3 linked regions of the Arabidopsis thaliana genome follow. The protein of the gene in region 3 interacts with the protein of the main gene of each other region in a biochemical or structural test. Each region holds a gene or a part of one and is shown on either strand. Other genes may lie near its edges.

Region 1 (10,817 bases), on a different chromosome or scaffold from region 3:
CCAATGATGAGAAACCAGGAACTGTTGATTCTACCATGTAAAATGCGTATAAAGATCCCTGCATACGGTGGGAAGATGAAGAAGTAGTGAAAGATAAAATCAGGGTTGGGTTTGTTTTCGTTTTAGCTTAGACAGATTTTCATTTTTCTTTGGTTTCTGGTTCGGACATGACTCTGTTGAGTCTTTTCTTAATTTCTTCTAGATTTTGCTTTCAATCTGAAAATTTAGTATCTTCTTTCCTTCTCCATTTCTCCTCTGTTTCCAAGTTTTCAAAACCTAAAAGGCTGATTGGACAAGGATAACACATCCAATTAAAATGTTATGTTTTTGTTAATACTCTATAAACCTTTGTAGTTAGACCATTAATTTTTGTGTGAAACTCGCATAAAATGAGTTAGTTGCAACTTGCAAGAGAAAGATATCGATTCGTGTCGGATCCACAGTGACAGGAGTATCGGAGCTTGAGTCACGGAGCTAGGAGGGTATGGACGGAAACTAGGAAATCGTTGAATCTATATGCATAATTTCTTAAAATATGAACAATGAGTTTATATATGTTAACAACCATATTAATTTATACAGGTTTTACTACATCATTTAAAGTATGAGGGTAAATGAGTATATTTTAGACAATTACAATTTTTGTAAGAATCATCTGCATTTAAATTCATCTGATTTTATTATTATTTTGGATGAGTATGAGTTTGGCAAACCATATGGCTAAAACATCTAGATGATGTCTTTGCATTTCAATATGGATTTCTTTTAGGCTTTAGCCTTTTGGGCCCTAATGTAACACCAAGTCTGCGACACCATCCAAAAAATTACCGCGAAAAAAAAAAAAACTTGCGAGAGAGATATTGATTCGTGTCGGATTTGACGTGGCAGGAGTATCTATCATCTATCTCGTAATTACGTGATTAACTTAGAATCTGTTTCTTTCTTCACCCACCAAAAGTAGCAAACCTTTGCCACCTAAAAATCTTACCAGTTGGGTGAAAGTTGCCAAAATAGAGCTTGCTTTTGTCGCAATCCTATATTTTTCAGATTGATTGTTGGTGGGTTTGTGTAAATGGCGGCTCTTTTAGGCAGATCCTGCCGGAAACTGAGTTTTCCGAGCTTGAGTCACGGAGCTAGGAGGGTATCGACGGAAACTGGAAAACCATTGAATCTATACTCTGCTATTAATCAAGCGCTTCACATCGCTTTGGACACCGATCCTCGGTAAGCTTACACTAGACATTTGATCCTTAGGTTAATAGACATCTAATACATTCTGTGGAGAAAGATAAAAAAAATGTGGGGAATTTAGTTAATTAGTATACACATATAGTTGCTTCAAATATGTATGATGTCGTTTTAGAGTCTGACTTTAAGTTTTTGTTGTGGGAGGTCTTATGTCTTTGGGGAAGACGTTGGCTTTGGTGGAGTCTTTCGCTGTACAACAGGTTTAGCTGAACGATTCGGGAAAAACCGTGTCTTCAATACTCCTCTTTGTGAGCAGGTATCATTCTTTGACCTGCTTCTGTTTTCACTTCTTAAGGTAGTGTTTCTTGATGAGTCATTCATTTAAGTTTTGACTGGATTCAGGGCATTGTTGGATTTGGCATTGGTCTAGCAGCAATGGTGAGTTCTTGTTTGTGTTCATGTTTTGAACTGTACAGTTGTGAGATTCAGTTTGGTGTTCCATTTTGACAGGGTAATCGAGCAATTGTAGAGATTCAGTTTGCAGATTATATATATCCTGCTTTTGATCAGGTAAATGTTCTCTCTTTAAACAAGCATATGCTTTCCGTCGCCATATTTCTGAACGGTTTTGTGATTTATAGATTGTTAATGAAGCTGCAAAGTTCAGATACCGAAGTGGTAACCAATTCAACTGTGGAGGTAAATCTTTCATCATTACGCTTTTTCTTGATTTGTTATTAGTAATCTATTTTACTCATTATGGTTTATATGGATCTTGATAGGACTTACGATAAGAGCACCATATGGAGCAGTTGGTCATGGTGGACATTACCATTCACAATCCCCTGAAGCTTTCTTTTGCCATGTCCCTGGTATTAAGGTTGTTATCCCTCGGAGTCCACGAGAAGCAAAGGGACTGTTGTTGTCATGTATCCGTGATCCAAATCCCGTTGTTTTCTTCGAACCAAAGGTACTTCCATTTCTTTTTTACCAACCAAATCAGCTTCTTAGCACCTCTTCTTAAGTCTTGAAACGTTGATATTTCCTTCAGTGGCTGTATCGTCAAGCAGTAGAAGAAGTCCCTGAGCATGACTATATGATACCTTTATCAGAAGCAGAGGTATCATAAGTTCATTTTTGGCCGTCTATTTTCGGAGACGAGAATCTCACTATTAGGAGTTATGAGCAGGTTATAAGAGAAGGCAATGACATTACACTGGTTGGATGGGGAGCTCAGCTTACCGTTATGGAACAAGCTTGTCTGGACGCGGAAAAGGTTTATAGCTTTATCTTTCAACTCAATGATGAATGGTTCGCAGTAATATTAACTAAGGTCTTGAGTTGATGCAGGAAGGAATATCATGTGAACTGATAGATCTCAAGACACTGCTTCCTTGGGACAAAGAAACCGTTGAGGCTTCAGTTAAAAAGACTGGCAGACTTCTTGTAAGATTTAAGCAATCTTGATTGACAACTTCGGATTTTGATTTGTCTGGTCGATCTTATAGATTGCTTTTGCTTGTGCTTGGGGTTGCAGATAAGCCATGAAGCTCCTGTAACAGGAGGTTTTGGAGCAGAGATCTCTGCAACAATTCTGGAACGTTGCTTTTTGAAGGTTAGTAAAAAGAAAGCTCAAATCATCACCGTTACAAGTGACTACTCTTTATTGGTTCTCCGTTTCTTAACTGTCATTTAAAATGCAGTTAGAAGCTCCAGTAAGCAGAGTTTGTGGTCTGGATACTCCATTTCCTCTTGTGTTTGAACCATTCTACATGCCCACCAAGAACAAGGCAAGTTCCTCTTCTCTTATCATTCCTCTATTCCGACCCAAAACGCAGTTTCTAACATATCATGTGTTCTTGCTTGATGCAGATATTGGATGCAATCAAATCGACTGTGAATTACTAGCCGTACTATCTGTAGTTTACTGTTTACACTAGGACTAATGTAATCGCATGTCTTTGTTATCAATTCGTCTAATGTAACACTACCGATTAACTTTAATGAATTTCAAGATAACGAAAACATGTTATAATAGGACTATCTCACTTAATGTGTACGAAGATTATTATCTACTGAAAGATGAAAGCTTATGATCCAAACATTTGACAAACCAGAGCGGCAAATTGCTTGAAAGAGTATATTAAAGGGCAAACAGACTTGGTGTCTTATTACAGAACAGTTAGCAAAGAACTAAGTAACTCTTTAATGATTGGGTATTGTTCACTGAAACAAACAGAACATGAAACAAGATTACTTGGAAGACATTTTTAGAACAAAAAGAAAAGAGATTTATTGGCATCTCCATTCTCTATTTACAATTTCTGGTTTTGAATCTGAATCATTTCAAGTTCTTGTCCAAGGAATATAACCCCACCAAGCGCCTGCCAACACCCGAGATCTCTAGTTCATGGCAATCCAAACGTGAACATGGTTTTTGCCTTCAATATGGTAGGCTCTGCTTTCGAATCGAAATAGTCATAATCAAACTGTTGATTGATTAAGGGGTATAAAATGTAAATGGAGATAAAGAAAGTTGAACTTACATACTATTATTGCTGGACCTTCCTGAATTCTCTAAGAACTGGGTAGATATTCTCAAATGCGGTATAAGTCTCTTCTCTCATCTGATTCGGGATTTCATAAGATGACAGAAGCATTTTCATGGAAACAATTTTAATCATTTGAGAGAAGTTCAATTATTACCTTGGCTCCAGTTATAACAATCTTTCCTGACACAAAAATAAGCAGTACAATCTTTGGAAGTTTCATCCTATATATCAATCCTGGAAATAGCTCAGGCTCGTACTGGCATCAATGATGAGAGAGGTATGAATCATCAGACCGATTAACACCCATGTTACAAGTATATATGATCACAATGCTTGAGATCACTTACACTTGAGAAAGCACTATGAGAGTATGCAAGACCTTCAAGCCTAATGGGGAATTTGACATCACATGAGCCTACAATGTTCTGTATCTTAAAATCCTGCAAAATGTAATCAGCAATTTTATTACTAGACTTTATACGTAATTTTTCCTTCCGATAAAAATACACACGAATTGTTGATTGAGATAAAAATGAATAACACAGTGTGTGCTGGATCAGGACCAGAGAGAGACATATGAGTACCTTGAACTTTGCAGGAAAGCCAAGCTTTTGAACAATCCGAGCATACTGAACAACAAAAAGGAATTCTTTAATATAACAGAGAACAAATACCTACTAGAGCTGTAACAAGTTTCTAACTACAGTGATGCTAGAAGAAGAACATCAGACAGTATTGAGATGAGCTAGTTTACCTTTCTTGCAGCAAGCTTTGAAAGATGTTCACTTTTAGCTCCGGTACACACCTAATATTGGACAGCATAGATGCCACGTCAAAACAAGGACATGGAAGATTAGGCCATAAGAGAAAAAGTGACAAAGGAAAACATACCATTTTCCCAGAAGCAAAAATTAACGCTGTGGTCTTTGGCTCTCTGATCCTCATGATTACAGCAGCGAAACGCTGGAACATAAAACACAGATTAAAACCAAATCCGAAAATACAAACCAAAGTGGTGGAGACCAAACAAAATGATCGATTACTAAAACACGAATATCACAAAGAAAGCAAAACCTTGGGGTTATATTCAGCATTCCTAGCTTGCAAAGCTATGGCTTTAAGATCAAGCTTGCAGTCTAAGTTCACTGTTGAGACAATATTTCTGAAACAAACCAAAAAAGAAAAAGGTAAGATCTTGTGATTCACAAAAGCACAAACTCAGAATCTTAAAACAGAGACACAAAAGAGAGAACTCACTGAAGAGTAGGAACAATCCCTGAAGGATGTTTAGTAAGGTCAACTGGCTGGCTCCCTTCCGTTCCTTGATCAGCCATTCTCTAACATAAGAATCAACGTAAACACACACACATCAGCTATAAATCTCGTCTTAAATAGGGCAAAACAGAAACTCATGTCGATCCAAACCAACAAGCATCCACGAAACAAAATTGTTTTCAAGCTTTACAATTTCATTGACCAAATCTGGTTATCTAAAAACCAGTTTTGATAATTGAAATCTAGAAACATTGTTTCACAATCAAACAACGAAAAGCTATGAAACACACAACTTCAGAACATGAGATCCAATTCGTAACAAGCAACTACGAAGAAACTCAATTCAGATAAAATCCGTGGAATTGAATCCATTAGGAACAAAGGGTACGAAACAAAATCAGACCTTTCGCTAGTTAGCAATCCGGAATTTCGAAATCTAGGGTTTCGTAAACCCAACAGATTGGAAGAAATTCCCCCGAAAAGGCGAAAGGAAGGTGAATGATTTGAAAAAGGAGAAGGCTTTTTATACAAAGATAAGAAATTTTTAGAGAGGGAAAGAGATTTGTAAATTGGGATTATATATAAAGGAGAGAGTTTTGATTTTCAATATCGCTCTCTGGGTTCTCTCTCTGGGGATGAGATTTGTGATCTGCGCTTTGGATCTGTGGAGCTTAAGGACACGTTATTACCTCTATATACTTTCCTAAACTACCCTTGCCTCTCTTTGTCGGATGAGGGTAATTATGGGAATTCAGCTTATTAGATTTTAATGTTACGGTCTTTACTGGAATTTTAGGGAACCGTCCACTCTTTGTCTGCCACGTGTTCTATTACAGAATGTGTTAGCATACGTTTTTTTGTTGGATCTATATGTAAGACTATAACTCAAGACACGTTCACAAATATGAATCGAGTAGAGACTATGAATCGCCACAACGACGGACTTATTACAAAGCAGTAGATTATCAATTATTGCATGAAGGTGCCAACTAAAACTTGTTAGAGATCATCACTCATCAGTGTCCGGGTCCTTTCTGACGAGTACGTGCCGATTCACTTCGTCTGACACCAGCTTTTAGATTATCAAATTGTTGTGCTCCATTTCCTTCCCCTTAATTTATAATAATAATAAAAAAAGAGATTAAGAACTGAATATGAGTTTTGTTTATGCGTGATTGTATTTGTATGATCAAAGACGGTCACTTACTCGGCAGAGTTCGGCCCATAGTCGTGTTGTACGCGGAGACCAAGAGAATAATCAAAGTGATTAGGGATAAAACCTGACGATTCATTACTTCTTCTTTTGGATTATGACTAATCTGAGAGATAATGTAATAAGTTGATACTACAATACTTATATATATACAAGGAGATTTGGTGAAACGTTAATATATTAGTATATATACTATATCAAAGTTAAGTTCGTTAATGTCAAAAGGTTCGTTAATAGCGCATAAAGTTGGTAACTTTGGTCGCATTTTACACATGTGAACTCTAGCTTTTATAAATTCTAATTAATGTTTACGCGTAAACAAAAGATTACATGGTAATGCAATCATGGATTAACACAAGGAAAAAGCATCACTTCATTAAGTTTAGTAAAAGACATCATATTTTGTTTTGGATGACGACATATTAAACGAGTCGGTCTAAGTAATTAGGCATACAATATTATACAATTCCATTTCATACAACAAAGGTGATGAATGTTAAATTACTTTTTATGTTTAAATTTATAATTTATTACCAACACAATTCGTACTACAGCCACCAATCTTGTTATTTTACCATTAAGGCATTAATTTAACAAACTAAGTTGCAAAAGTGGCTTTGGTTGACAACAAAAAACACACAAGCGACTTACAGAATCCGGCAAAAGATTTGCTCAAAAACAATTAAAAAAACACAAACTGAAAGATATTTGTTTTCCAAAGATGTAGCATTCAACCAAATCTGAGAAACTTATGTACAGACAAAAGATCAGATTTAGGTAGAACCGAGATTTCATGATCACACCAAAAAGCTTATGTTGCTCAGGGAACATGTCTTAACTAGAATCCGTTGGTGCATTGCTATCTTGCGACGAGGAGAACAAGGTGCTAAACGGCCACGGGATCGAGAATCCGCTTCCGTCATTGTTCTCGTTCTCCTCCTCCTCCTCCTCTTCTTCTTCTTCTTCTTCTTCTTGGCGCCGGTTTCCATCGCTGTTCTCAGCTCCATGGCTGGTTGTAGCAGAAGCACTACTGCTTCCATTGTTATCGCTCGTTGTTGTTACTGAATCAGTCTTGGCTTCATCTGCAGGTAACTGATATCTGCAAACCGGGCATGAACTGTGAAGCTCAAGCCATGGTAACAAGCAGTCACTATGAAACTTGTGCGTACAGGGCATCAGCTTTGCCTCAGTTCCAATCTCAAAATCATCTAAACAAACCGAACATTGCAGAGTCTCTTCGATTTTCACAGTAGCCAAAGCCTCGACAGCTTCTTTTTTAGCAGGAGGTGTTCCATATCTGTTGGGATCATTCTCAGCTAGACGTTGAAGCAACATTTCAAATCCAGGACCAATGAAATAGTCACCTAAAGAACCAGCAGGTACAGAATCCATATCAGCAGAGTTTTGAACCGTGATAGTCTGATTGGAGGTATTGATCAAGATCACCCGTCCCGGATTATTACCTCCATTACCAGTACTCTCAGATTCTACAGACAACCCTGCTCGTATCCCCTGAAGCAACTGCAAAACAGCAGCGGAATGTCTTCTCCTTCTCCTGAGAATCTCTTGAAGCTGCCAATCCAAATCATTTTCTCCATCGTCTTCATTGTTCTCGGTCTGTACCTCGTTTTGATTATCTTCAACAGACTCAACACTCTGGTTTCTCCTACGACGCACAGGATCATTCATAAGTTCCATCAAGATAGGCGCCCAAAGAGAGTTGTTTGCTCTAACATCAGCCGGATCAGAAGAATCATGATCGTCGTCATCTTCCATTTCTTCAACAAACCCACTTTGACAAAAGGGACATTTGATCTCAGCTTCCATGACTGGATTCACAGTTTGAGAACACATATGACACCAATACCTCGTTACAACTGCTTCTTCCATGTCCGATTCTTTCTACCTAGAAATAACCACAAAGAATAATTAAAAAAAATAAAATAACACAGAATAAGAACTTGTAGCTAAATGAGTAAATCTCGTTGAAGAGACTAATATACATCTGTCAGCTAATGAAGTTCATCGAACCCCTAAGAGCGAATAAGGAACATCAAAGCGTAGAATAAAACCCAATCATCAAGACACTGAAAAACCCAATAATATCAAAATGTCAATAAAAGAAAATGACTTTATAGAAGAGAAATGAAAAGGGTTTTGAAATCGTCAATCGCAAACCAGAACATTTATCAAAGTAGACGAAATCGTAAAAGTTTACAACAAAGTCATCGATTCAAAGATATGAGCTTTTGTTTGGTCGGATTCAAAATCGAAAGAAGAATCTGCGTTCCATCTTGAAACCCTAACCATAAATCAGCCGTTTTAAAGAAACGATAAAAGTAACAGAAATTAGCAAACCTTTTGAGTCTTGTTGTTCGATAGCAGAAACCGAGAAGCACAGAAAAATGTAGCGACGATGAAGAAGGATTTTGAGTTTTGAAAATTGAAGAAGATGAGAAAAAGAGAGGGTTTCTTTGTTTTATGTACGAAAGGAGGAGAATTGTCGTAAGAAATTAGAAAAGTAGAAGAAGAAAAGAAAAAAAAAAAGATAGGAGAGAGTTTATCCAAGAAAGAAAAAATGAAAAGGATCCTCCTCTTCTTCCAGATCCTTCTGGGTTTCTCATTTCTTTTCTCTCTGTGGGTCTTATTCTTAATTAGCTGCTCCTTTTTTTTAATCAGCTCATTAATTCCAGTAGACTTTTCTACAAACATCAACACGTGTACTTGGATTCTTTTTGTGGGCTTTTAAGTATACTTTTATTAGATGGGCCTTTTTGATGTTAAATTATTGGATAGGAAGTTTCTTATTTATGATTACCACCAAAAAATAACATTGTCCACAAAGGTGCTCTCTCTAGATCATCCAAAATATATGGAGTTTTGTTGAAATTACGGATGAATTCTACTACCGGAATTTCATGAACGGCTCGTGATGTAGTGACGGTATTACTACAATCCCATTTGGTTACATGTCCTGATCGTTTTACTCTATAACAAGGACGACACATATCAACGCCGAAATCTTTTAATTTACTATCTCCACTTGCAAACCAAAAACATAAAAAGAAAGTATCTCCATTCCATTTACACGCAAGAAAAAACTCGGAAAGAATTTTATATGATGGATGATGCATCAAGTAGATTCCGACTCTATTCTAAACCATATATCCCCAAAAATAACATATTTTCAGACAAAACAAATAATGAAATAGCAAAGTAGAAACAGTGCTTACTTGTCCTCAACATATAGAATCTCATGTTTTTGTAGGTGTTATGTAATCTTCTTGCTCTGCTTTGTATGGACACGACGACTCTTCATAATTCTCCCTCGCTTATGGAACACTGATGAATAGCATTTTTATCGGCTTCAAAATCCGATAACTAAACCTCAACAGACAACTCGTTTGCTTAGATGCACAAATGGTCACACTACCCTTCTTGAATCATATTGAAGCCATCCCCGTTTGCTTCAAACACATTTCTTCCTACAAAAGATATTCAAAACAAGATTTATCTTATTATGTGTGAATTAACAGTGATAAAGATATACTGCAAATACGACCAAGAACATATGTGGAATCAATGGAGACTAACCGGTTTCTTCAAACCCTTCTCTTCCTACATAAAAATTGAAACCAGATTTTTCTTATTATTTGTGATAACACAACAGTAACAAGATATAGTGCAATACGACCAAAAACAATGTTCAAGCAATGGAGACTAACATCAATTGAATGCAAGGATCTGAATATGGGAGACTTAATATGAGAGGCCTCTGCAGCAGATGGTGATCCATTGTTCCCAGCTGAATAATGATTTACCTACAAAGGACACAAGGGTGACAAAATTTGCATTGGGTGAGTAACTTCCTCCATGTCGTTAATTACAACATTATGATCACTACGTACTGTCTTATGTACATCCTAAAGTCGTAAAATATCATTGCTAGGGGATCTTGTTCTTTGCATCAACCACGTAAAAATGAAGAGCTGAAAGATAGAGAAGGATCATCACAGTTTCCTTCTAGCTAGTTTATCCTAGACTCAGTATATTGCATTGCATTCACTACAGCTCAAATAGTTTAAAACAAGAATTAACAAACTCTTTCTAAATGGAAGGCTTGGTAGAGTAAACAGGCATGTCGAAATACAGTCTCAGTGATAAAATCACAAAAACCCGAATTAACAAAATATAAACTGCAAATAAGTGGAAAGCAAAGAGAGTAGAAACTAGAAAAAACCTGAGTAGCTTTGGGTGAATTTATATTGGTTTGGCTTTCTTCAAATAGAGAGGTGTAGTAGGCAGGGTCGTAGATAGAACCTCCCAAGATTTCTTCAGCACCTGAACATTGTCTAGCTATAGCAGGAGTTGGTGGATTCAAGAAGCTATTTCGTAAATCCGAATCTGTTTCACGAGGAAGTGAAGTGTCCACGATAGCAGCCCCCAGCCTATAAATCTGAAACCATAAAAGCGAGGATGATAGCCTCACAAAGAAACCAATCATTTCCATCGCCATTGTAAGTTTCACTGAAAATATGAAAAACGTTCCATACGTCTCAGCTGAAATGCTCCTGCATCAACAATGGAAA
Region 2 (10,456 bases), 1.8 Mb from region 3:
TCCAACTGATCTAAATTTCTCTGATAGTGAAACAGACAAAAATCAATCGAACTAATCTTAAACGATGAACCTCAAAACCAGCGGAAAGAGGAAGAACCTGAAGAGGAGGAAACTGAGAAGAAGGAGCAGCTTGCTCCAGAAGCTTCGACGAAGAATGGAGAAGATCAGTCCAACCACTCATCTCTTGGTCGTTCGCCATTGATTTTGGATTCGAGCTACTACTACGCAGTCGGGGAAGCAGCAAAGAGAGGGTTTCCGTCGGGATTCAAACCTTTTTGATTTATTTTGTTTTATGTTATTACCTTTTACGACTAATTATACTTTTCTGTTAATATATAGAATTTCTTTAAATTCGATAAGAAAAAATAGCTATTTACTGTATTTAGCCCATTTTTAAGAATTAGACAACCAATGAAGACAAATTAAAAAGCCATCAAAAATGCTCTGTAAATCCAAACATATTTTTGTCTCATTTTCTTTTCATGAACAAAGTTTTTTTCCGCTTTGCGAATATTGTATGGGGGAATAAGATTATGAAAAAATTACCATCTTACTATAACAATAATAATATTCCTTTCTTCAAGTTTTTTAACGCCATTACAAGAATCTTAAGCAAAGGACTTCAAAAAAGATTTGAAAAAGAAACAAAAGGCTCTACTAGAGAGAGAGAACAATTGCTTTGTATCTTCCTCAGTCGATATAGATTTATAGATATAGATAGTTCTCTATTGCATATAGAAGAATCAAGAAACGACTTCAAGGACTTGACAGGTTTTTCAGATCCTCTTCCTTTGCATACCAACTTGGTGCTATCTTTGACAGATGTGGATACAAGTCTTTGTATGAATTCCTTATTGTCCCTTCTGCTACTCCTGTCGCATGCGATATATCTGCACCCCACCCCAAATATTAATCAGTCTATGTTTTGTTTAAAACGAATCAATGAGAATAAATGAGACCCGAAAGAATGAAAAAACCGAACCTTTGAGAGTCTTCTTGTCATCAGACAGCTGGGTTATGATATAGATGACTACTGCTGCTATTGATATAGGACTCCTCCTGCAATTTCCCAAAATAAACATCTTTAAGATTCTGCTGTGTTTATCTCCGTCCCGAACTGAGGGAAATAATTGAAATGTACCTTATATCAAATTCCTCAGATTTTTGCACAGCTTCCTGAGCAGCTTTCACCGCATGGTTAGACATTGCAAGGTTGGAGCAGAACCTTCTCTGCAATTTCATCAAATACAGAGTTATGAAACCACGTAGTCAATGCAGCCAGCATAATCAACTGTTTCATAACATAATTAGCACACTCTAGCTAGGTTCTGGTATCAGCAACAATTTTAGTTTTAGACAAACTCACCATGAAATCACCAGCGTGTATAGTTCCTAAATCCACAGACTGACCAGGCTCCAGTCCCAATGTCTTAACAATGTAGTCTTTTGCTCGGCCAATTTCCTTCTTTGTCGCCCCATTGGCAATAACGCATATTTCTATTCACAAGGTTCACGAGTTTGATTGACTTATGTCAAAGCTATATCAAGAGGTAACAAGACTCTCTCAAATGAGAAATCTTTGAAATGTACCCTTAATAGTTCGTGGCTTGTCCTCTTGGCGACAAGCAATGTACAGACAGGCTGCATAAAGTGCATCCTGATTTCTTCCCCTGCTTGACTTCTGATCCTCCAGCCTCTTATATAACTCATTAGCCCGATCCTACATATCACGAAAATCCACCAAAGCTGTAAATGAAATGCTCCAACAGCACATCCTAACATATACATTCCACAAACATATTAAGTTAGCAGAGACGAACAAGTTTACCTTGATAGTTGCAACAAGTCCCAACCTGGAAAAAATATCAACAAGTTAGTGTTCTCTATTATCACAAGGATAATAATGTACATACACAGCAGAACATAAATCTGGCAATGTAAACAAACACTCTAAACAACCAACAGAAACTTCATCCCTTTGAGGAACAGACTAACACATCACGAGCTAAACGCATAAAGTACAAGGAAAGTGAAAACTCTCAATGAAAGATTAAAAAGGAAGCTCCTTTTGTTCTTTAATTGACAATGTAATTTCACAAACGTATGCAAGAGGCGTGATGATAAATCAAAGCAAGTTCATACAAAATCAATCTCCAATAGGATTAAGGATCGTGTGATCTAAACGTTTCAATTGTTTATAAAGTTGCAATCCAATCTCAGAGAAGGTGAGATCTCAAAATGGGGACTACCTTTCAGACATGGTAGCAATGGTTTTAAAAGCTTGAATCAAACCACGATCGGAATTGGAGTTACGATTCTGCCACCTCCCGAGAGAAGAAGACAAGAAATCACCAGATGAACCATTGGGCTTAGCGATAACAGTGGTTAAAGCACTATCAGCGAGAAGCGGGTTGGTTGGACCACCGACACGATTGGGATCGCTGTTGGAAGATTCATTAGCGAAGGTACGCCACTCAGAGGTCTCATCAATGGAGTGAGATTCCAAAACCAAACCACACTCGGAGCAAAGGGTATCTCCGGCTGAGTGATCGACAACCAACTCCGTCTCCTTTTTACAATCCGTACAATACGCATCCGACATGATTCCAAATGAAAACCCTAAAAAAAATTAACCCAGAAATTGAAAAATCAACAACCCTAAAAATTGAGATCTTAAAATCGGTTACAGATTCCTTCGATTTCTCTACTTCTCTCTCTATCTCTCGTCTTCTTCTTCGTCGCGAAAAAAATCGGAGACAAAGAAAACAAAACACGAGAGATGTAACTTATGTGGAGAAGGAGAGAATCCGTAGGTTTGGTTTCCGGTTTTATAGACAAAGAGATGAGGGAAAATTAAGCTCTAGGGCGGTGCATCGTGAGGAGAAGATCTAGATCGTTTATTTAAGTGGGACCTATTAATAATCAATCGGACGGTGGATTAATTTTCTCCAGCGATTGACGTTTGTTTTTTATTTTTATTTTAAATTAGCTTGCTTGTCCGTTTTAGGAGGACAGAGGAAAAAGAAACAAGTGACTTGTTAGGGAAGTCATACCGGTCGCATGTGTTGGAATTTAGTTGGAAGATTTTAGGAGTGTTTGGATATAGGTACAGATATAAACTCGGCATTGAGCCCATTGTAGTACTATTGTTATCGCCATTTGGGTCACTAAATGGACCCTTTTTGAACTTTGGTTCAGTATACAATCAAAATACAGAAACCAACTTTTGGGTAATTTTATTCCTGAAATAGCTAAACATTAGTACGTGAGACAAAACTGGTCATTTGCTTTGAAGGTGACATATATCACCCCTTTTTATACGTGTCTCACAACATTTACAGAAATTATTTAACTTTATAAAGATGAAAAAAAAAAAAAAAAACTTTATAATTTAATGATATATGAATGCTTTGAATCAACAACTTTAACCAAAATAAAAGAAAATTAATGCTTTGGATTTATATCCATATTATGTGAGTTCAATTTTTTTGCAACAAAATCTTACTCAGGATAAGTTATATTTATGAATAGAGAGTTTTTTTATTTAAGATATTACTTTATAAAAGAAATTAAAGATATTTCTGTCTAAAGTTATTACTGATTACACCTAAACATTAAATATTACAGATTTTATTTTTATTAGATGTAAATCTTTACCATGTGAAAGGAGTAGATACTTTCAAACAGATTAAAGCAATTTGGATATCCGATACAAGAAATTAATACTATGACATTGCAGATTATTAACATTGCTGACATTGTATCAGCTATATCTCTCCATGATGATTTTCATTTACCAAAACCTTGAAACATTTTGGGCATGCCAAACTAGGTGACCACTAAGACAAGGAGATAGACTGTGTCCTTCCACGTTAAGGAGGCAAATCCGTGCTACCATTCGCAATTTTTTTGAGTAGCATGTGAGAAAATAATTTAGAAACAAGCAGTAAATCTGAAAATATGATATTACTCTTGATATAACAAAATATGATATTAATTACTCTTGGGTAAAGGAAAACAAATATGATAGTTAGTACTCTCTGTGTTTGGACAAAAATATTTTTGCCTGCTTGCATCGGATTACCGTAATACGACTGTTTGTCTTCACTCCGAACAACCGGAGATGAGTACAATACGACTACATTAAATATAAGATTGTAATATGAATTGAGAGTCAAATTAACAAGGGGGAATTCAGTTATTTCTTTGTATGTTTAAGGAATAGGTGATGGGTTAGCCTGGTGTAAGACTATATATGTTTGAATATAGGAATTATTTGGACTTTTCTTAACAGTAATGCATTGTGTGGGGGTAAATAATGATTGGGTAATACAAGGGTATTGCTACTTATTACAGTACAAGAGTTCTGAATATCAATAGTTTGGACTTTACAACGTTCAATTTCTGGAATGGATCAATGAGATTCGATGATACATATTTCTATCATGCTCATAATTTAAAATGTTGTTGAAAAGGTATGCAGATCGTGTTGTGTGGATTAAAATAGCGTTGGATATCGTTTAAAACAAGTGCTGCCGCGATATAACTATCTTGTCCAAAAAACGATAATAGCTAGGTGTCCAAAAAAACGTTTCATACTTTCATCTCTTTTCTTTTCTTGCAAGAGTGCCATAAAATGAAAGTATGAAACAAATTACCACCTTTGCTTGTATACGTTGTTGTTATCAGTTACAATTAAATTCAATTTTTAAGTTTAGTCAATTTCACGGACGCGGTTAAGATGTTAGGCGGTAGCCGACCATCAAAATAGAGTTAAACATTGGATTATTCTCTATATATAGCTACATAACAAATTCATTATCCGAAAATTTTCAGGCAATAAAGAACATATTGGAGCAAACAATAATTTATCGTAAGAGTTTTTTTAAAATTCGTTGGAACTTGGAAGGGATTTTAAATATTATTTTGTTTTCCTTCATTTTTATAGGTTAATAATTGTCAAAGATACAACTCGATGGACCAAAATAAAATAATAAAATTCGTCGAATTTGGTAAAGCAAAACGGTCGAGGATAGCTAATATTTATGCGAAACCCGTTGTCAAAGCAGATGTTCAGCGTCACGCACATGCCGCAAAAAGAATATACATCAACCTCTTTTGAACTTCACGCCGTTTTTTAGGCCCACAATAATGCTACGTCGTCTTCTGGGTTCACCCTCGTTTTTTTTTTAAACTTCTAACCGATAAAATAAATGGTCCACTATTTCTTTTCTTCTCTGTGTATTGTCGTCAGAGATGGTTTAAAAGTTGAACCGAACTATAACGATTCTCTTAAAATCTGAAAACCAAACTGACCGATTTTCTTAACTGAAAAAAAAAAAAAAAAAAACTGAATTTAGGCCAACTTGTTGTAATATCACAAAGAAAATTCTACAATTTAATTCATTTAAAAATAAAGAAAAATTTAGGTAACAATTTAACTAAGTGGTCTATCTAAATCTTGCAAATTCTTTGACTTTGACCAAACACAACTTAAGTTGACAGCCGTCTCCTCTCTGTTGTTTCCGTGTTATTACCGAAATATCAGAGGAAAGTCCACTAAACCCCAAATATTAAAAATAGAAACATTACTTTCTTTACAAAAGGAATCTAAATTGATCCCTTTCATTCGTTTCACTCGTTTCATATAGTTGTATGTATATATGCGTATGCATCAAAAAGTCTCTTTATATCCTCAGAGTCACCCAATCTTATCTCTCTCTCCTTCGTCCTCAAGAAAAGTAATTCTCTGTTTGTGTAGTTTTCTTTACCGGTGAATTTTCTCTTCGTTTTGTGCTTCAAACGTCACCCAAATCACCAAGATCGATCAAAATCGAAACTTAACGTTTCAGAAGATGGTGCAGTACCAGAGATTAATCATCCACCATGGAAGAAAAGAAGATAAGTTTAGAGTTTCTTCAGCAGAGGAAAGTGGTGGAGGTGGTTGTTGCTACTCCAAGAGAGCTAAACAAAAGTTTCGTTGTCTTCTCTTTCTCTCTATCCTCTCTTGCTGTTTCGTCTTGTCTCCTTATTACCTCTTCGGCTTCTCTACTCTCTCCCTCCTAGGTACTACTATTTCTCCCACACAATCTTAACTTCTTCTTCTTTTTTGGTATTTCTATTTGATTCATCACTTATCTTCTCTGTTTTTTACTCTTCTCCAGATTCGTTTCGCAGAGAAATCGAAGGTCTTAGCTCTTATGAGCCAGTTATTACCCCTCTGTGCTCAGAAATCTCCAATGGTTAGTCTTTTTATTTCACCTTTTTACCAACTCCTGAAGAAAACAGAGTTTTGATCTTTTCATCTTAATATTAGAAACAGAGTTAGTGTATAATCTGCATAAAACTTACGGTTATCGATTCTTGTTTATGCACGCAGGAACCATTTGTTGTGACAGAACCGGTTTGAGATCTGATATTTGTGTAATGAAAGGTGATGTTCGAACAAACTCTGCTTCTTCCTCAATCTTCCTCTTCACCTCCTCCACCAATAACAACACAAAACCGGAAAAGATCAAACCTTACACTAGAAAATGGGAGACTAGTGTGATGGACACCGTTCAAGAACTCAACCTCATCACCAAAGATTCCAACAAATCTTCAGATCGTGTATGCGATGTGTACCATGATGTTCCTGCTGTGTTCTTCTCCACTGGTGGATACACCGGTAACGTATACCACGAGTTTAACGACGGGATTATCCCTTTGTTTATAACTTCACAGCATTACAACAAAAAAGTTGTGTTTGTGATCGTCGAGTATCATGACTGGTGGGAGATGAAGTATGGAGATGTCGTTTCGCAGCTCTCGGATTATCCTCTGGTTGATTTCAATGGAGATACGAGAACACATTGTTTCAAAGAAGCAACCGTTGGATTACGTATTCACGACGAGTTAACTGTGAATTCTTCTTTGGTCATTGGGAATCAAACCATTGTTGACTTCAGAAACGTTTTGGATAGGGGTTACTCGCATCGTATCCAAAGCTTGACTCAGGAGGAAACAGAGGCGAACGTGACCGCACTCGATTTCAAGAAGAAGCCAAAACTGGTGATTCTTTCAAGAAACGGGTCATCAAGGGCGATATTAAACGAGAATCTTCTCGTGGAGCTAGCAGAGAAAACAGGGTTCAATGTGGAGGTTCTAAGACCACAAAAGACAACGGAAATGGCCAAGATTTATCGTTCGTTGAACACGAGCGATGTAATGATCGGTGTACATGGAGCAGCAATGACTCATTTCCTTTTCTTGAAACCGAAAACCGTTTTCATTCAGATCATCCCATTAGGGACGGACTGGGCGGCAGAGACATATTATGGAGAACCGGCGAAGAAGCTAGGATTGAAGTACGTTGGTTACAAGATTGCGCCGAAAGAGAGCTCTTTGTATGAAGAATATGGGAAAGATGACCCTGTAATCCGAGATCCGGATAGTCTAAACGACAAAGGATGGGAATATACGAAGAAAATCTATCTACAAGGACAGAACGTGAAGCTTGACTTGAGAAGATTCAGAGAAACGTTAACTCGTTCGTATGATTTCTCCATTAGAAGGAGATTTAGAGAAGATTACTTGTTACATAGAGAAGATTAAGAATCGTGTGATATTTTTTTTGTAAAGTTTTGAATGACAATTAAATTTATTTATTTTATTAAGTTTTTTTTGGTAAGTTATTTATTTTATTAAGTTTTGTAGTATATCGTCGTTATTCGTTAAGATAATAATCAATTTGTTTTCAATATTTTAGGAAATATTTGAAGCACAAGAAAAGAAATAGTAGGTGGTCCTATTGGACCTATATAAATAAACTAAAATATTTATTGAATATCAAAATTTTGTAATTGATAAAGAAGTTTGGACTTCATCGCCGCTCACTCCTCTCTCATCAACTATCGCCTTTCTCTTGTTCGCCCTAATTTCAGCCGCTTCTTGCCGTTTTCTTCGTCGGAGACCAGTGGCCGGTGGCTTCCGTAGCATTGGAACTGGTTTTTTTGTCCTTGTAGTTTATGCTTTGTCTTGTAGTAGTAGAGATCTCGTCCTTGATTCAGTTAGTTTTGGATAGATCTGAGTAAGTGCTTGGTTGATTCTGCAGATCTATTGGCCCTCGTTTGGGGAATTTTTCGGTTTGTTTCAAGGGATGACTTTTGTTTCGTTGAGGTTGCGGTAGGAGCGGTTAGATCTGTTGATCTTTTCCCGAACCTTGCCTTTCCCTCCGTCTCTTGTCTCCTTGCTTCAGCCATCAATTCCCATTTGGATTGCCCCATTTCTTTTCAGAGGTTTCGTTATGTTTTTGTTGTGATAGTCTTCTTTGTTGGCAGTCGGTCTCTCCTCCTTAGTGTAGTTTGTTGTGGTTGTTAGCTTTCTCCTACCTTTGTGGTGTTCTCTCACGATGAAGGTTCTCGGAGGCTAGGCTTCTCTCTTTGTCCTGCTTCAGATCTTTTTTGATAGCTTTTTGAAGACTTCTATTTAGATGTATTTAGACGCCTCAGTCGTCACCGTCGCACCCGGAGGCTTGTTCGAGTTTATTCCAGTTTGGTTGGCTTGCTGGGTTATGAAGTTCTTGGTTCTGGTTTCGAGAGATTGGCTCTCTTTATGATAGGAGGTGGCAGATTTTTTTTCGGGGTGGCCGTGGGCAGCCGAAGTAAGTCTCATCGCAAGTGCTTATGAGGAGGAGGTCTTATTTGCCGCTTGTAGCTATTGTTTTCTTTGGTTTTTAGTCTTGTTGTCTCTGTTTATGTATTTGGGTTCGTTCTCTTACGTTTAGGGTCCAATTTTTGCTGCTTTGTGTTTTAGTTTCTTTTGTTTCCCTTTCATAGGGCTATGCTTCCGGGGATATCTTCGTTTTCCTCCGGCTTTGTCTCCGAGAACTTTAATTTCGTTCGTCGGCTTTGTTTCTCTTGTTTAGGCATCGTGTAATTCCCTGGTTCCACATCAAGTTTATCAATCAAATTTCAGTTTGAGTGACAAAAAAAAAAAGAAGTTTGGACTTTTGTTGTCATATGTGTTTATTATAAATAGCCCAAGATAAGAAAGGCTAAGTGGCCCAATAACAAACAAATATATATATCGAAATAGGCTTCTTCGTCTCACACGTTATTGACCAGAAGAGTGAAGAACCCTAGTTCCCAACAAGGTGACGATGGCGGCAGCGAGGTAATCCTTTTTTGAACCCTAGAAATTTTCTGATGTGCTTTCTTTTGTAACCTCTTTTTAACATAGTATTTATTATGTTAGCTTGAATGCATCTGGAAAAGGATCGAAGAAACCAAATGGGTTGAAGGAGTTTCTGGAAAGTCTAGAAGCTCTGAAGGCAGATCTTAAAACCTTGAGTAAGGAGGAGCTGCTTGAACTGGAAAAGCGGCTGAAAAATGTGGCTCGTAAGGCGAGGGAAGAGCTGGAGAGGCGTATGGAGCAGCCCTAATATGTCTCTGTTTACCCCTTTTAAAATGTCTTAAGGGTCGTTGAAATTTAGTCTTAATAATCGATTTAGTAGCTATTGTCTTAAGGGTCGTTGAAAATTAGTCTTAATATGTAGTAAATGATCGATTTAGTACGTAATGTTTTAGCTCCTGTACTGAGAGACTCAGGGAGTTGTTATGTTGTATCTTTGGATCTATATATGCTTGATCCTTGACTATTTTTATTGATGCTTATCTCTCTCTGCTTTCTATTCTGATAGAGAAATTTTGATTTTGGCCAAGTTAAAATAAGGAACTCAACGTACAAGCGAAAACCATTTTTTCTACCGGTTAGAACAAAATTATGAATAAAATGGACTTCACAACAATGCTAAAAAACTGGTTGTTTTTGGCATTGGATTCTTTGATACAATATGTGTTTCTCGGTGAAACATTCAAAAGCTGCAATGGACTAAGCATCAAACACAAAGGCCATTGGCTCTAGGATTACTTTTGTACTTGACCTCAAATATTTTCTATGGGCTGTGTTGCAGTTGCCATTTGTTGAACCTCTATGCAAATAAGTTTCTTTTGTTGAATCAGTGCTTGTGTGAACCATATATCAATTTTGATTTTCTCGTTTTCTTGGCTTATCACTTGTATTGGACTCACTCGACAGTAGGACTTGAATCCTTTATCCTGAGAGATATCACTTGGTTTTCTATGTTGTAGCTGTCTTGGTGCAGAATAACAAATTATGATATCTCGCTTTTTGTTTATTGTGTAAGATCTAAAACCTGACTTGCTCTGCATATATTACGAATATATTCAGTTCTGAACAAAGACAACGAGATGTTGAAGCGCTGCTGGTCTGTGCACACTCTCTTCTTATCCTGTCCCTTTTATAGCCTCAGCTTGTGTATGTAAAATGCTGCTGGTCTGTGCACACTCTCTTCTTGTCCTGTCCCTTTTACAGCCTCAGCTTGTGTATGTAAAATGCTCCTGTTCTTGCAGCTGGAAACGAAGAGGAGATTCGAGAGAAGATGCTCTGAATCATT
Region 3 (9,717 bases):
CAAAATCAATAATACTCTGTTTTATGTTAGTACTAAAAAACCAATCTTCAGAGAGTTTTTTTCTTTTGATATTTGGTCAACCGTTGGATAAAATAAATTATACTCCCTATTTTATAATAATTTTATTCTTGTTTCTAAATAAATAATGTTCTGTCATTTTCAATATAAACGAAATAAGGATGTAAATGGTTTTAAATTTTTATAATAATTTTGCATTCAACCAAAAAGATATTTAATACGAAAATGAGGAAGTATATAAATATAAGCACCTTTATATGAAAATTATGTGATGGTTTTTCTGTAATGGCAATATTTTTATTCTATAGATGGCCTAACCCACTTTTGTTTAACCACATTTGAATGATAAATTGATTCGATGCCATGAATTTAATCAGAACTGCTCCATGACGATGTGTCAAATGCTCCTGTAATAATTCAAAATTCCTCTTTTTGAAATCTTATTATTAGTTTACTTTTTCTCAAAAGAATATTATGGAAGTCTTTCACTACACTATCCGGATAGATATGGATCACATAAAACTTTGGTGGATTTTATCATGATAAACTTTGACTTACTAAAAAACTTACTAATAATTAATAGATTAATAATAAGCACAATATCAATAATATTCCGATTGATTCGTATATTTTGGAAGTAAAGATCTCAAATCAAATATCTAAGCTTAAACGATCGCTGGATTATAGCTTAAACAGACTTAAATTTTGACAATGCATGTGGTCTATAACTTCTTCAGAGCGATTGACTCTTGTTCTCCACCCTTTTCTCTTAATAGAAGATATGCATGGTTGACTTTTTTTTTGTATACGTTCATGCTCGATATTCGAAATCTACCAAATTAAAGTAAGATCTTTCACGAAAAGAAAGGAAAAGAGCATGCAAGATATGGCGCAACATGTTATTTTCATGGAAACCCGAATATACATTTTTTAAAAATGAACTATTTGAAAGAGAATCTAAACAGCTTTGTTCAACTTTGTTACACTTCCTTATGCCACCCAACCAATAAATAATGTAGCTATAATGTATTTGAGTATCTTGGTCTGCTTTACCGAAAAACTCATATAAAGCCGATGTGTGAATATCATTGTAGTCAAATATTATTATGCATTTTGTGCAATCGATCTCGAATTTCAAGTTTTTAACCAATAAATATGATATCAATACATGTGTAATGTTCAAAACATGTGTATGCATGATAAATTGGCATTTTTGTGTTCGGTCTGTTACAAATCAAATCATTGTGCGTTTTTAACATTGAAAGAAATTATTAATATAAGAAAGAGAAGAAAAAAAACACTGAACAGAAGAGAAAAGACAAGACTAACTAATAAAAAACATTATAAAAATGAATCTAGTCTTTTAGCTAGTGCACTGACGAATTTGAAGATGAATTAAAATAAAGATTCGATCGCACAGTCTAGCTAGATGGAGCATTGATTCTGATTAGTCAAGTGTATTGATGGAGTCACATAGACACAACTTGCATTGAATTGAATCTCTCATCTCCCTGTCCAATGTATATTACACATACACTTTGAATACTTGCTAATCAACTAGAGTTTGAATAGGTATCAAATAAAACTTTGACTGCATCGACCTTTGTCACTTTTTCATTATAGCAACGGTAAACACAATGATTGGGTATCTTGTCTGACCGGTGAAATTTTGAATTCAAACTAATCAATCTAGTGGCTTTTCTTATCGGTTCCATATATTGGTTCGCAGAAGCGGTTTAGCAAAATGATTGGGTTTTCGTTTTGACTTTTGAGGGTTTATTGAATTGTCTAAGAAGAAAAATTCCTAAACATACTAAATTTTTAAAACTACAGTAAAACTTTTATAAATTAATAAAATTTTATAGTGAAATTCCTAAAATTCTAATATTATTAATTTAAAATAATATTAATTTATCAATAGAGAGATTTTCTTAATTTAATAAAAAATTTAATAACGATTTCTTTCATTATAAAAAATAAATGTTAAATATACATGAAAATGTGAAATACATATGAATTTGTGAAATCGCTAATGACCACAATTAAATGGCGGGATCCAAAATCCGGTTGGATTTCACAATTTCATATTAATTTAGTATTTATAAAAAAAAAAAAAAAAAAAAAAGAAAGAGTTGAAAACCTATTAAGAAAATAAAATAAAAAATAAATGCTAAATATACATGAAGAAGTGAAAAACATGTTGGATTTGTGGAATCGCTAATGACCACGGTTAAATGGCGGGATCCAAAATCCGGTTAGATTTCACAACGTCATATTAATTTAGTATTTATAAAATTTAAAAAAAAAAAAAAAAGAGTTGAAAACCTTTTAAGAAAAAAGAAATGCTAAATATACATGAAAAAGTGAAAAACATGTTGGATTTATGGAATCGCTAATAAGCACGATTAAATGGCGGGACCCAAAATCCGGTTAGATTTCACAACGTCATATTAATTTAGTATTTATAAAACCTTAAAAAAAAGAGTTGAAAATCTTTTCAAAATAATAATAATAATAAATGCTAAATATAAGAAAAACAAGTGTTAAAAAGTTAAATAAAATGTAAACCATATTGAACCTAGAACAACTCTTAGGGGATTGGATGATGTATCCAATTAGTTTACACAAAATTTAAAAATTTAACACTTATCTATATAAAAAAAATCTAAAGTTATAATAAAATATAGGTGTAAAAACATTTTACACTTAAACTAATGAAAATATATAAACATTTTAGTTATATAAATGTTATGGTGAAACTAATTAGTTTTAGTTTTACTTAAAAATAATTTTGAAGGAAAATAAAACAAAAAAAAAAAGAATGAAAAAAGTAATACCTTGTTGGATTTAGTAGCAAAAAGGGCCCATAGAGCAAAGCCCATTCCAAAGTCAGATTTGAGCCCGTCGGTCTTTGGGAGCCCTCTCGTGACATCATCCACCACCATAAAGCTCTCCGCTCTCTTGGCTATATCCTCCTCTTTGTAGTCTCCGGTGAAAGCGTCTCTCGTTGGTCAGATCATTATCTGGCGACATCGATCTTGATGACATAGATTTGATGGTTCAATCACGAAACGATGATGATATGATATCGCTCCGATCAATTACGGACGTTTCAGAGATCATCACCATCGGCTTTTACTTGAATATCTCTACTTGGATCATCATCGGAATTCACAGAGAGATAAAGACAAAATTGTCTTGAGAAGAGAATTAGGGTTTTAGAATAAGAAGAAGCGAGAAATAGAGAGTTTTGATTTGTCGAATTCTTTAGAAGAAGCGTTGAGACTCTCAGTGAGAGAGTAATTATTTATTTATAAGCGAAGAAAAGGAAACTGATAATCACAATTAACGGTCACAAAATCTTCTTTTAACGGTCACAAAAAAGATTTCTTTTGATAGCTTCTGTTTCCTTTTTTTTGTTTCTCTGACTGTGAGAGAATTAATGTGATGAGTTTTAATACATAGACTATAGCAATGGTATATAAATCAAGTTTTATAGAATCTGTTTCTTGTTGGTATGTATCGAGAGAGAAGCGGCCTGGATATGATCACAACAAGAAATATTTCTCAACTTAACGAAATTGGAATTACTGTTTTAGCTTAGCCTGATCATTTGCAGACATATATACAAAAGTTGCCCCAGTATCTCATATTAGCTGAGAAGAAGAAGCCAATCAAATACATAAAAAAAAAAAGCACACTAAAGATTGCAAAAGCTAAATAAGTTTCTGTTATAAAATCAACAAAAGAAATCAGAGGAAAAACTGAAAGAGCTCTTCATGATTTTGTAGACGCGTCTGAATTCACGGTTCGCACGAACTGGCCTTTCACTCGAGGACGTTGTTCTGCTAGCTTCTTCCTGCTCTGGTACCGAACCTGTAATCCATTTTTATACATCTCCATTGAATCAGTTTGATCTTGTATTTGTTTCAGATGCTGTTTTTATGATGAAGCTTGTGTGTCTCTTACCTTTTTGTCAAAGCATCGATCTTTCCTCTTCAACCGGAACTTCATCAATGCAGCTTCTCTCTGGCTTCTACTCCAACGTTGTTTCGCACTTTCTTCTTCCTTTGGTTTCTCTGTGCTACTGCTTTGTCCAGCAATCCCCTCATTGGTGCTTTGAGAACCAGCTTCTACTTCCTTGCTAGCTGCTTTCTCGCGATTTGATTCTACCGGTATGGGTGAATCTTGCTTCTGATTCGTTACTGTGGACTGAAGAACTTGGTTACGGAAGCTTACGCTTGATGATCCGATATTCTCCTGGTTGCTGCTCGTTGTGGAGCTTCCTTGATCAGATCTTACTTTTCTCAACTTTTCATGTGATTCGGTTGGTGTCTTTGGCTCACCTGAAGTACTCTCCTCTAAAGCAACGACGGCTTTTTCTGCTGACTTGCTTTCCTCAAATCTGCAAGTTAAATACATAAGAATTTGCGAATTGACTGACTCTGTTTTGATACTCTGCTTTTGTTGAGAAAAAAACAAAGTTTCTCCTTAAATCTTCCGAGTCAAGAAGATGTTAACTTGGGTTTCATGGTTCTTTTCGTGTTCCTAATATCAGTTTCTTCTCACCAACTTAGTTCTCTTCTTGATCTTTTACATATTAATGCATAACACTTTATATATATGATTTCTCCTGCTTTTGATTTTTATTCATCCAAATTTAGTCTTAAACTTACTACTTAGCTACAAAGCATGACGAGTACTTACTACTTAAAAACAGAATTACAAACACGAACTGAGAATATACGTCTTTCTAAACACATCATTTATACAGACAAAACCATACAATTTCAGCTCAAAATCCTGCAAAATTCTCGCTGAGAAACGAGTCATTTGCTGGACCGAATATCTCTATATCCGTGGCTCGGTTCATGCGATGTAGACCGGTAAATTTCGATTTGAATATGTATATATCCAATCTTTAGTCTCAATCTGTTTCATCTTCTTGTTTAGAGTTTATTGTTTTCATGACCAAAAATCCCGCCAAGGGTAATTGTTGCTGGATTGGTCCAAGAGAGTAGTAGTATCTGATTTGAAACCTCTCCAATCATCAGATGATGTCAAACAACTATCAGCTGGTTCAACAATGTTCATTAAGTGATCTGGTTCTTCCTCAAACCCACCAAAATACTCTCTCTTGATGTTGTTACTATAACCATTATCATCATCTTCATAATCATGATGATCACACATAACCCCATGATGACCCTTATCATCTTTCATCTCCATCTCCGGTCTAACCTCTTCCGGTTTACGCCTCCGGTTCTCTTCGTTTTCTGATTCATGATGTGTGCTGCTTAGAGCAACCACCGCTTGATCTCCACTACACTGCCTTTCCTCCTCCTGTGTCTTCTTTTGCGTCGCCTCTTTTAGCCTCTGCAACTACATAAAGGTATAAAACAACTCATCAACAATCTATTCTCTCCTTCAATAAACCATCAAAACAGAGTTTTTCTTGATCACCTAATCAGTCCTTAATTGCAATATAACCACTAAAGCACATATTTTATCACATATTTAAAACCACAGTTTTTCAGTATACAACCACAAAATACACAGATTTTAACTAACCATGTAAGAATAAACAGAGTTTAGAACATACCTCAGAGACTAAAGCTTGTTTTTCTTTCTTTAAGGACTCGAACTGAGAAGCCAAGTTGTCGTAGTTTTGTCTGAGAATGTTGTACTCAGTCTCGAGCTGCTTGGATTTCCAACGAGCCCTCTTGTTCTGAAACCATATAGCCACTTGCCTCGGCTGCAACCCTAGCTCTCTAGCTAATTGAACCTTCTTCCTTGGCTCAAGCCTTGTCTCAGACTCAAACATCATCTCCAGTGACTTGATCTGCTCGTCGCTAAACCTTCTCTGATTGTTCTTGTTGTGGTTGCTCTTCTTCATCTTCTTCATGGTCAAGAATGGCTCTGCTGACATCATCGCCGGAGAATATTCTCCACCTTCTGTCATCTCATCGGAATTTTTCCTCAGAGGATTTATGTTTTCTTTATTTTTATTTTTTGGAATCTCTATGTTTGTGTGATGTTGGCTATCTATATATGTGTGTTGATGAGGCTGAGATTATTATGTTAACAGTTATATAAAAATGTGATTTGTTGTTCTTTTTTGGGAGGGCTCCTTAGCATATAATAAGATATAACTTTGGGTTTGCTTTATCGTAAATTTTTTATTCATTTTTGAGTAAACGATTTGTGGGTCGACAGGTAGCAATAGGGCGGATTTTGGCTGTTTCTAGAGTCGTCGCTATCACTTGTTAAGTCGAGTTTCATTTCAACTCGAAACTAATCATCTAACTACTGATTAATAATTTCCACCTTTTTTATTTCTTTTACTTGTGACAAAATTAGTTTCGACTTAACAAGTGTTAGAAAATTAAATGATACAAAAAAATCTGCATACTACACAATTTACCGCATAGTAAACATTCTGGTCGATGTGAAAATGGAAATGGAACAACGGTTGCGTACCAATGTATTTAGTGATGTGGGTGCATATTAACAAATCCTGTTAAGTGGATCTTAAATAAAAATGAAGGGAATTATAATGGTTCATATAATGATTAGCATTTCTGAACTGATTACTAAACAATTATAATGGTTCATATAGGGAATTTCAGAAAATGAATAATCCTCATCTCCTATGCATATATCATCATGTGATTAATTATATTCTTTTCAGTACATCTCTGGTGAATTTTTAAATTTTTATGATTGTGTGCGACAGATTTAACGTTCAGAAGTCAGGATGTGTGACGGGTGTTTTTGTATACGTATGACACAAATCATAATTTTCTTAGAATGTGACTTTAATATTATTATACTTGCATTGTAAAACATATATTGATTACATCACAAATCTCAAAAACAAAACATTGTGACTTAAGTATGATGGGATACAATTTTTTCCAGCTATTTGCTTACGCAATTTTTTCTAATCGGAGATTTGATTTAGAATCAAAGCCTAAACTAATTTTTATAGATAAGTGTAATACAAGTTTACCTTCACCACACGTAAAACTTCCGTGCATGCGATTTGATAACTTTTTGCCAACTCTGTTGTGATCATTTGTTGACCCCTTCCTTACAAAAAGATATTTACTTCAGATTGAAAAATTGACAATACTATTATACTCGTAAACTATTTGTTTCTAATATCATATTTGAACTTATATGATAAATCACAGATATAATGATTCTTGAGAAAATTTTCTAAATTTTTCTTTTTTTCTGTTTTTATGTTAACAACACCATATTTATATATATTTTTAGAAAAAAAAACTAAATAGAAATGGCATATAATAGTTTTTTTCTAGAGTCTATATAACGTTATTTTTAAGAAAGTCTTCATACAACTGATTTCGCAAAATTTCTCTAGTTTAGTTTTACAAATTATGGTACTTCAAACCTCTATAAATGTTATGGTATTTTAAGAATGAATGCCTCGTGATTATTTAACAAACATTACTCCAAAGACAAAAGGCTAATTTTTCGTAACATTTCATCATTTGAATGGAAGCAAGTTAAATTTTTGCCAACAGGGAAACCATATTTGAGGCAGATTCCCTAGACTTTATTTTCTTCACGATAGCGATAACAATTTAACAATATTAGTATTAATGTGAAAAGCAACTTTAATTCTTGCTTTCCTGATTAGTTTAAGGTTTACGTTCACCTTGCTTGTCGGAAATTTCTTTTGACTAATTAATACAAGCAAAAATATTAAATTGGGCCATCTAGATAAGATATTTTCAAACCCTAATATTCTTTTTTTAATAATTAAATCTGATATTTGTAAAAAAAAACATAATTCGAAATTATATCTATCAAGTATCAACTAAAATTAAACCAAAAAGAAGTACCAACTAAAATTTAACGTAAGAGATCAATTTCTAAAGTCTTATTGAACTTATCAGAAAGTGGCAATCAAAAAGTATCAAAATCAGCCATCGAAAACTAGCCAAGTGTTATAATCAGAGATGAGAGTTCAATGCTTTGGGACATCAAAGTTGATAGAAGAGATGACATGGCAGTTGATCTGTGGTGGTGCCTGAATATTTTGGCCCAGCAAAGTACACACGTGTCGTGGTTAACTAGTATATCGCAATTTCTGAGAAGAGCCGTAGGAGAAGACAAATTCTTCATTTCTTTTTTTAAAAAGTATAATTTTAATTTATTACTAAATAAACGATGGCTTGGCTTGTTTGTATTTGCAAGCTCCTCGACTTGCCGCGTGTGACATTAATTTTTTGATATATTTACAATTAATTAGGACTTTTTATGTTAGATTATCAGTATGGTGTCACGTTCACAAAGTTTTTCTTTGTTTTCATACCATCGTAATATTCAAACGAAGATCTATTTTATTAACGAATGAATTTATTATTTTTATTTTATTTTCTTTAACGAATGAATTAAGTTTTGTCCTGCTTTTTAGATTATTACCGTTACTGCATCTCTAATCAATTTATGATACATGAGAATCAAACACAGTAATTTGGTTTTTAACGATAGAAAAAGTAATTTATAGTAGTGACTTTATCAGACAAGAAGACTTTTTTCCACCAATTTTGGAATTGTTGATAGAATTATAGAACTCTATTATTCCATATTTTCCGAATGGACAATAAATATTCTAAACCACATTCGAAATTTTTTTGTTTTATTTTGAGAAACAACTAGATCAAATTAATGTGTAATCTGAATATCTGATGGTGTGGAACTGTGGAAATATGATGCCAAGGAGGTGCCAATGGGGAAGAGACATTTAGCACCGTCTTAAAAAAAGCTTATCTTTTCGTGATAATAACTTTATAGAATTAATAGATGAAATATCTAATTACTTTTGGTCAAAATCATCATTGGTTTTATTTATAATGTTACTATCAAAAAGGTTATAATAATCGTAAATTCATTGTCACAAGTGGCCAACAATCTTACCCTACTTCTTTAACTACTACTCCTCGTTAAAGCGATGTTGAAAATAAAGCGGCTCGACTTTTCTTACCGAGTAATTAAAACAAACAAACCCATCTTTAGGACTAGATATTTTACTTAATACACCGAATCTCCGACTTTCACGTTTCATTTTTTTTTTAAAAAATAAGCATGTTCAATTTGGACATGGACAATATTTTATTTTATTTTCCAGTTTATTTGAAAGATCAACTATTGAAACAGAGTTTACAGGAAATTTGAAAATGTGAAAAGGACAAAACAAAATTAGGAAGAAAACAAAACGAAATTTTACACACAAAAAAAAAAAAAACGAAAGAGGCGAAAACTGATAAAGATAATGAGTGATTGGACCTGAACTTTATCCGTATTAGAATTTTGTTATACTTTCTTTCGTTTCCCTTTCTACGTGTCAAAATGTCTACAGTATGTTGAAGTACAAGTACGTTCATTGTACATGAAAGATATATTCAATTGCTTATGTTGTCATAATTATCTAAATTATTGTATATTAAGCTATAGATATTGTTAATTACTTAATTGTATTAGTCACGGAATCTGATAATACCAAGTCAAGGGGAAACCAAAGATTAGGCGTGAGACGGTTCTCATTGCTGACCTTGTCGGACCAAAGACCTTAGTCATGTTACTCTGTTCTCTTGCTTTAGGTTTCGATCTATTTCCACTACCGAAACCAGTTTCAATTTTCAAATAATAATATTTCTCTCATTTTAT

The links.
Region 1: the proteins of HB-7 (region 3) and TBP2 form a complex in vitro, tested with the Arabidopsis thaliana proteins (one study listed by BioGRID).
Region 2: the proteins of HB-7 (region 3) and TFIIB form a complex in vitro, tested with the Arabidopsis thaliana proteins (one study listed by BioGRID).

What each region holds. Positions count from the first base shown.
Region 1 is NC_003070.9:20,722,410-20,733,226, forward strand, and holds TBP2 (TATA binding protein 2), read right to left. Parts: upstream 5,683-10,817; 5' UTR 5,419-5,682; intron 5,078-5,418; 5' UTR 5,075-5,077; coding exon 4,998-5,074; intron 4,903-4,997; coding exon 4,815-4,902; intron 4,704-4,814; coding exon 4,632-4,703; intron 4,546-4,631; coding exon 4,495-4,545; intron 4,370-4,494; coding exon 4,325-4,369; intron 4,181-4,324; coding exon 4,088-4,180; intron 3,997-4,087; coding exon 3,895-3,996; coding exon of another isoform or gene 3,865-3,894; exon of another isoform or gene 3,816-3,864; coding exon 3,741-3,815; 3' UTR 3,735-3,740; exon of another isoform or gene 3,647-3,734; 3' UTR 3,097-3,646; downstream 1-3,096. Other genes in the region: ECT4 (evolutionarily conserved C-terminal region 4), read left to right, coding at 1-41; BCDH BETA1 (branched-chain alpha-keto acid decarboxylase E1 beta subunit), read left to right, coding at 1,073-1,224, 1,393-1,504, 1,591-1,626, 1,699-1,758, 1,830-1,887, 1,971-2,158, 2,240-2,308, 2,378-2,464 and 4 more; AT1G55530 (RING/U-box superfamily protein), read right to left, coding at 7,063-8,118; AT1G55535 (uncharacterized protein), read right to left, coding at 9,672-9,713, 9,823-9,846, 9,954-10,049, 10,469-10,799. UniProt on the Arabidopsis thaliana protein: General transcription factor (GTF) that functions at the core of the DNA-binding multiprotein factor TFIID.
Region 2 is NC_003071.7:17,354,799-17,365,254, forward strand, and holds TFIIB (transcription factor IIB), read right to left. Parts: upstream 2,825-10,456; 5' UTR 2,603-2,824; coding exon 2,250-2,602; intron 1,854-2,249; coding exon 1,829-1,853; intron 1,721-1,828; coding exon 1,591-1,720; intron 1,498-1,590; coding exon 1,367-1,497; intron 1,231-1,366; coding exon 1,142-1,230; intron 1,060-1,141; coding exon 983-1,059; intron 891-982; coding exon 757-890; 3' UTR 501-756; downstream 1-500. Other genes in the region: AT2G41620 (Nucleoporin interacting component (Nup93/Nic96-like) family protein), read right to left, coding at 1-20, 98-199; AT2G41640 (Glycosyltransferase family 61 protein), read left to right, coding at 5,856-6,066, 6,165-6,242, 6,380-7,593; AT2G41650 (uncharacterized protein), read left to right, coding at 9,140-9,153, 9,235-9,421.
Region 3 is NC_003071.7:19,160,794-19,170,510, forward strand, and holds HB-7 (homeobox 7), read right to left. Parts: upstream 6,175-9,717; 5' UTR 5,981-6,174; coding exon 5,621-5,980; intron 5,401-5,620; coding exon 4,984-5,400; 3' UTR 4,481-4,983; downstream 1-4,480. Other genes in the region: AT2G46670 (CCT motif family protein), read right to left, coding at 3,796-3,894, 3,988-4,440. UniProt on the Arabidopsis thaliana protein: Probable transcription activator that may act as growth regulators in response to water deficit.